2 linked regions of the Macaca mulatta genome follow. The protein of the gene in region 1 interacts with the protein of each later gene in a pairwise test. Links are inferred from orthologs where the notes say so. Each region holds a gene or a part of one and is shown in the gene's direction. Other genes may lie near its edges.

Region 1 (3,561 bases):
AATTTGGCTCTGAGCTTCCAAGTGGCCAAATGGAAAAGGGAAAGAATTTCAAGGCTTCTTGTCTATATGATAAAAGCACCCAATTCTCCTGAGAATTCCTTTTCCTGACCCTGAGGTTTAAGCGAAGTTTCTCCTATGAGCTCTTTGAACCCTGACCTTAAACATATCCCAGTAACAAGAAATGCAGTCATAGCATCAGGGCATCAGGGCAGTATTCCTTACAGTAAGCCAAGGATGCAAGGCTAAGCTCAATTTGTTATAAGCAATGGTGGAGGTTTTGGGCAATAGTTACAGGTTGTCTGCAGGCCTCTCCTGTACTTCCCAATTCCTGGGCCCCCGAGGGCAGCCTCCCAGAAGAAGAGACCCTTGTGGGTTGGACTGGGTGTGCCGTGGATGACTCTGACAGTGGCCTCTGTCCCAGGACACGTTGGAGAAGTGCGGCAAGTGTGGCGAAGTGGTCCAGGACCACATCATCAGGGCCCTGGGCCAGGCCTTCCACCCCTCCTGCTTCACGTGTGTGACCTGCGCCCGGTGCATTGGGGATGAGAGCTTTGCCCTGGGCAGCCAGAACGAGGTGTACTGCCTGGATGACTTCTACAGGTACGAGAGGGGTTTGGCACCAGGTGGGGTGCAGGGACAGGGTGAGATCCAAGCAGGATGAAGGAGCCGAGCCTGAGTCCTGGGTGCTGGGCCAGAGTTTCCTGTCTACTGGTTTATTATAAAGAATATTACAGGCCGGGCGCGGTGGCTCAAGCCTGTAATCCCAGCACTTTGGGAGGCCGAGACGGGTGGATCACGAGGTCAGGAGATCGAGACCATCCTGGCTAACATGGTGAAACCCCGTCTCTACTAAAAAATACAAAAAAAACTAGCCGGGCGAGGTGGCGGGCGCCTGTAGTCCCAGCTACTCAGGAGGCTGAGGCAGGAGAATGGCGTGAACCCGGGAGGCGGAGCTTGCAGTGAGCTGAGATCCGGTCACTACACTCCAGCCTGGGCGACAGAGCGAGACTCCGTCTCAAAAAAAAAAAAAAAAAGAATATTACAGGGCTGGACTGGGCACAGTGCTCATGCCCATAATCCCAGCATTTTGGGAGACTGAGGAGGGTGGATCACGAGTTCAGGAGATTGAGACCATCCTAGCTAACACGGTGAAACCCCATCTCTACTAACAATACAAAAAAAATTAGCCAGGCCTGGTGGCGGGCGCCTGTAGTCCCAGCTACTCAGGAGGCCGAGGCAGGAGAATGGCGTGAACCCGGAAGGCGGAGCTTACAGTGAGCTGAGATCGTGCCACTGCACTCCAGCCTGGGCGACAGAGCTAGACTCCATCTCAAGCAAAACAAAGCAAAAAACTAAAAAATATATATAATGTCACAGGCAGGTACTATTAAGGGTTCTGTTTTACCAACCAAGGCACACAGCAGCTAAGTACCCAAAGTCTCTCCACAGGTAAGTATTGAAACTCTTGGTAAGTATGCACATCCCCAAGGACCTGACTTTTGGGCCCTGCTCTGAAACCCCAGACCTCTAGGTCTGCCCTTGGAGCTGAATGACGCAGTGGGGACACATCTGTTGGACTCAATCCCTGCCCATGAGTTGCTCACCACTCAAGGGGAGAGACAGATGTGCCTCTTAAGAAAGAAGTACTGGCTGGGCACAGCGGCTCACACCTGTAATCCCAGCACTTTGGGAGGCCAAGGTGGTTCGGATCACGAGGTCAGGAGTTCAAGACCAGCCTGACCAACATGGTGAAACCCTGTGGTCGCTACTCAAAATGCAAAAATTAGCTGGGCATAGTAGCGCCTGCCTGTAGTCCCAGCTGCTCAGGAGGCTGAGGTAGGAGAATCGCTTGAACCTGGGAGGCGGAGGTTGCAGTGAGCGGAGATTGTGCCATTGCACTCCAGCCTGGGTGACAAGAGCCAAAAAACTCCGTCTCAAAAAAAAAAAAAAAGACAGATGAGATGGGTCCCAGCCCCACTGAACACAGTTCTCAATTCAGGCAATCTCCAGTGATGCTGGGAAACCAGGTCTCATTACACAGGTCTCTCCACCTGCTCCTGCCAGGAAGAAATAGACATCTCTGCTTATAGCTGCTAGTGCAGTCCCATAGCAACGGGACTGAAATTGCTCAGGAGGTGAACACCAGCCAGCCCGAGTTCTGACAGCTAATTAATTTATGTGGTTGTGGCATGAACGCCTCCCAAGCATGGGTTTCTTTGCTTCTAGGAAATTCGCCCCCGTCTGCAGCATCTGTGAAAATCCCATCATTCCTCGGGATGGGAAAGATGCCTTCAAAATCGAGTGCATGGGAAGAAACTTCCATGAAAATTGCTATAGGTGTGAGGTGAGTAGAGCCCAGGTGGTTTAATAATATTCCATCGCTGCATTGCCAGGCCCTTGGCTGGGTTGCTTGGACATGGGGACAGGTCAGGGTGGGGGCTATACTCTCAAATTGCTCACTGTCCAGTAGGAGAAACAAAAGATGCTGGAAATACAACTATAGTCTATTATCAACTCTTCGCGTTAATGATAAGAAACCAAACTCGGGGCTGGGCGCGGTGGCTCACGCCTGTAATCCCAGCACTTTGGGAGGCCGAGGCGGGTGGATCACGAGGTCAGGAGATTGAGACCATCCTGGCTAACACGGTGAAACCCCGTCTCTACCAAAAATACAAAAAAAAATCAGCCGGGCGCGGTGGCGGGCGCCTGTAGTCCCAGCTACTCGGGAGGCTGAGGCAGGAGAATGGCATGAACCTGGGAGGCGGAGCTTGCAGTGAGCCGAGATCGCGCCACTGCACTCCAGCCTGGGTGACAGAGCAAGACTCTGTCTCAAAAAAAAAAAAAAAAAGAAACCAAACTCAAGTTGCTTTCTACAAAAAAGAGAATCTGTTGGCTAATGGTGGTGGGAACACTGATGGTATTGAGTGATGGCATCAGGACTCTCTCCATCTTTCTTTCTTTCTTCCTTTCTTTCCTTTCTTTCCTTTCTTTCCTTTCTTTCCTTTCTTTCCTTTCTTTCCTTTCTTTCCTTTCTTTCCTTTCTTTCCTTTCTTTCCTTTCCTTCCTTTCCTTCCTTCCTTCCTTCCTTCCTTCCTTCCTTCCTTCCTTCCTTCCTTCCTTTCTTTCTTTCTTTCTTTCTTCTTTCTTTTCTTTCTTTTCTTTCTTTCTTTCTTTTTTTTTTTTTTGAAGATAGTCTTACTTTTGTTGCCAGGCTGGAGTGAAGTGGTATGATCTCAGCTCACTGCAACCTCCGCCTTTTGGGTTCAGCAATTCTCCTGCCTCAGCCTCCCAAGTAGCTAGAATTACAGGCATGCACCACCGCACCTGGCTAGTTTCTGTATTTTTAGTAGAGATGGGGTTTCACCATGTTGGCCAGGTGGGTCTCAGGTGATCCGTCCACTCCACCTCCCAATGTGCTGGGATTACAGGCATGAGCCAACGCTCCCAGCCTCTTTTCCATCTCTTGGCTCTGCCTTTTTTATGTGTTTGCTTCATTTTTGCTGCCTGTGGGCTGGCCTTCTCTGTGGGGAGGTGGGGCACAGTGCATGGGCAGAGGTGGCC
Region 2 (3,484 bases), on another chromosome or scaffold:
CAGAGACACTCCAGATTTAAGGGGAGATAGAGAGAGACCTCAGCTGGTCCAGAGATGGACAACTCAGAGACCCAAAATTCATGAAGAAGACTTCGAAAGACCTCAGAGTGCGACCACAGACCCTGAAACATAGAAACCCCCCAGACCAAAAACATAAAAGGAAACTCAGTCCTAAGAAAGATCTCCACACAAATACTGAAAGACCCCTCCGAAATCTGTCTCAGAGACAAACTCCAAACTCAAAGACAGAGATCTCAGGGAACCTCCCCTCCCCACTTCCCTGCCCTAGAACCTCCGAGAGGTAGAACACTGACGTCAGCCTGGGAAACTCCGAGGCATCCCCACCACCAGACCAATGACCTCAGACCTTGAAGGGAGGGGAAATATTGGGTGGGGGCAGTGGCAAGAGCTTTTTTCTCTGCGCCTCCTCCCACCTCTCTGCCTCTCACTGGCCCCTCTCTCCATTTTTGGGTCACAGGATGTGCTTGGGCCCCAGGGAAGTTATGTAGGGCAGGTCCTGGCTCCTCAGGGGATGGGTTAGGGAAAGGAGACCCAAGGCTGAGAGGTGGACCAATCCTGGGGAGTGGAATAGGCAGGGAAGAGGGGACAGAAGGACCATCACCACTGTCCCCATCCTGCAGCCCTCGTTCTCCTTCCCTCTGATTCAGTAGTCTGTCTCAAGCTTTGGGTTTTCAATTAAGATGGCTAGGCCCCATTTTCACCATCCTCTACCCCATTTACAGGATCTCGCTCTGTTTTAAAATGCATCTTTCCTCACCTAGCTATTGTCGTGCCATGCCCATGCCTGCCTAATCACTCCCCGCTACGCAGGGACAGCGGGCTTCTAGATCACCGTTGTTCATTCCCAAACCCAGGCACATCTCTGTCCCAACTAAAATGGCAGGGGGCGCTCTCTTAACCCCTGAGGTTGGGGTGAAGGGTCTTTCTCAGACCCTGCCACACCTTAAGGCCTCGGAAACAGTGCAGGGGAGGTTAGGCACATTGTGGGGTTTAAGAATGATTCCCCACACCACAGCCTGACGCATCGACTATGCGGGGTCTCCGGCCCCCCCCCTTTCCTGGAGCCAGCACTCGCCTCACGTGGCCTGCAGGGCTGGCCTGTGATTGGCCACTTGGCGTCACTCACTGAGTGCCGCCGCCGGAGAGGACCGGCCCCCTCACGTGACAGTGGAACGCCGCAGCGGCTCTCCTCAGCCAGCAAGTGGTAGTTTCGGGTTCACACGGAAACGGGCGTGCCATTTCCGCGCACGTCTGCAGATCCAGCGGTCGATTGGTCAAGTCTCCCATCGCTCCGCCCTCATCAGGAGGCGGGCAAACCGCGCCACGAGAGGGCCAGGATTGGCTGGCTCTGGAAGCGCGGGTGGTCCCCCTTCTACTGTCACATGGTGCGCGCTGTTTTCTTATCACGTGGCTGCCACCCAGGTAAGAGGCCGCTCTTCCTGGGGTTGTTTCTCCGTGTGACGTGTGGCCTCTGAGATCAACTCTCCTCTACCAGCGTAGGCCGCATGAGTAGGGGGCGGGCTCCCGCGGTCCTGCTCGGCGGAGTGGTGAGTGACCGGCCCCGTCCCGCCCCTTCCGGTCCTCGAAGCCTCGACCGCTACCTGCACCCCAAATCCCAGAGGTTGGCCCCCTGAGGTGTGAGTGAAATGAGCCTTTGCTTTACTTTTCCAAGTTTCTCTCTCACCTTCAGGGGCATTCTTCTTCGGGGTACATCAGAGGGAGGGCAGAGCCTGAGTAAGCAGAGGCTTCCCTGGGTGTAATTTCCTGGGCTGTTGGTGAGGAGAGATCGAATTCGCCTCCTGCTCTCAGGCTTCTCTGCTCCTGTCTTTTGTTTGGATGCCGGCGCTGCTGCCTGTGGCCTCCCGCCTTTTGTTGCTACCCCGAGCCCTGCTGACCATGGCCTCTGGAAGCCCTCCGACCCAGCCCTCGCCAGCCTCGGATTCCGGCTCCGGCTACGTTCCGGGCTCGGTGTCTGCAGCCTTTGTCACTTGCCCCAACGAGAAGGTCGCCAAGGAGATCGCCAGGTAGGGACCTCGATGTTCAGCGAGAAAGGATGATCATGAAGGGAGAGTTGGGGGTGGGGCAGAAGAGTGCCGCTTTCTCCTCTCTTCAGCTCTGCAAGCCTGTCTCTGGGCTGCCAGTACAAAAACTGGGGTCATGGGGCACTCTGAATGGGACTGTCTCTTCACTCCAGGGCTGTGGTGGAGAAGCGCCTAGCAGCCTGCGTCAACCTCATCCCTCAGATTACATCCATGTGAGTCATAGGAGTTGGGGGGTTAACCTAACTGTAGGAGCTGACTGGGAACCTCTTTCCTGGGGGAAATTCTTTGCTCCTCACAACTCTCCCCCTCTGACCTTTCAGCTATGAGTGGAAAGGGAAGATCGAGGAAGACAGTGAGGTGCTGATGGTGAGAAACATTTCCCCCACCCAACAAAATTTCCCCAATCCCTGACCCCTTTAGCCCTTACCCCTCTTCTGAGAAACTGAACTCAGTCCCACTCCTTGATTCAACCATGTTTATCTTTGTCCCTTAGATGATTAAAACCCAAAGTTCCTTGGTCCCGGCTTTGACAGATTTTGTTCGGTGAGAACTTTGAGATGTATGGGGTGACGGTGTGTACTGTGGGGGTGTACTGTGGGGATGGGACTTGCTTGCGCGAGGGAGTGGCTTCCTTTAGGTCAATCTTTGAGTAATCCCCTTCCCCCACCCACCTATCTTGTAGTTCTGTGCACCCTTACGAAGTGGCTGAGGTAATTGCATTGCCTGTGGAACAGGGGAACTTTCCATACCTGCAGTGGGTGCGCCAGGTCACAGAGTCAGTTTCTGACTCCAGCACAGCCCTGCCATGATGAGCCCTGTTCCTGCCGTGATCCCCTTGATACTCAATGCCTTCTGACTTCCAGGTGATGACCGGGCCCCCAATAAATCCTGTCTTTAGGTCTTTCTGCCTTTTGCCTGTTTTTTCCTTGTCATGTATGCAAATTTGTTGGGAGAATATAAGTGCTTCTAGTCCCTGTATTCTGTACATCTTTCAGAATGACTCCGAGCTGCTAGATTTATTTCTCTTTATTTCAATCATACAGAGTCCGGGATCCCTTATCATCCTCCCTCCTCAGTCTCTGCCCCCAGGGGTTAAATAATTTTAAAAAATATTTAAAAAGCTGTAACAAAATAACATCAAAGGAAATGGGAAGGATGGAGGGGTCAGGAATCATGAAGGAAGGTAGAGAAGAGAGCCTCTTCCCCACCCCCCACTCTTGGATTCCAGCCTGGGCAGTAGGGAGAACTATCCCCTATCTCTCCAGGTACATCCCAGCTGTAGGTGAGGTCAGAGGTCAGGGTATGAAAGTGCCGGTGTGTGTGAATGGGGAGGTGGGCAGAGGCAAGCTGTTCAGAAGATGCCCCCTCCTCCCCACTCAACCAGGTACTGCACAGAGCCATCAGGCCGTACTCTCCGAGCA

The links.
Region 2: the proteins of FBLIM1 (region 1) and CUTA interact in binary tests that used the Homo sapiens proteins (3 or more experiments, as listed by UniProt). The two-hybrid records come from large-scale screens. The link is inferred for Macaca mulatta from reciprocal best matches to the Homo sapiens genes FBLIM1 and CUTA.

What each region holds. Positions count from the first base shown.
Region 1 is NC_133406.1:225,257,057-225,260,617, reverse strand, and holds part of FBLIM1 (filamin-binding LIM protein 1), read left to right. Parts: intron 1-421; coding exon 422-600; intron 601-2,226; coding exon 2,227-2,344; intron 2,345-3,561. UniProt on the Homo sapiens protein: Serves as an anchoring site for cell-ECM adhesion proteins and filamin-containing actin filaments. Is implicated in cell shape modulation (spreading) and motility.
Region 2 is NC_133409.1:148,861,598-148,865,081, forward strand, and holds CUTA (protein CutA), read left to right. Parts: upstream 1-1,412; 5' UTR 1,413-1,443; exon of another isoform or gene 1,444-1,516; 5' UTR 1,517-1,526; coding exon 1,527-1,568; exon of another isoform or gene 1,569-1,658; intron 1,659-1,830; coding exon 1,831-2,045; intron 2,046-2,215; coding exon 2,216-2,275; intron 2,276-2,383; coding exon 2,384-2,429; intron 2,430-2,556; coding exon 2,557-2,606; intron 2,607-2,745; coding exon 2,746-2,872; 3' UTR 2,873-2,964; downstream 2,965-3,484. Other genes in the region: PHF1 (PHD finger protein 1), read right to left, coding at 3,415-3,484. UniProt on the Homo sapiens protein: May form part of a complex of membrane proteins attached to acetylcholinesterase (AChE).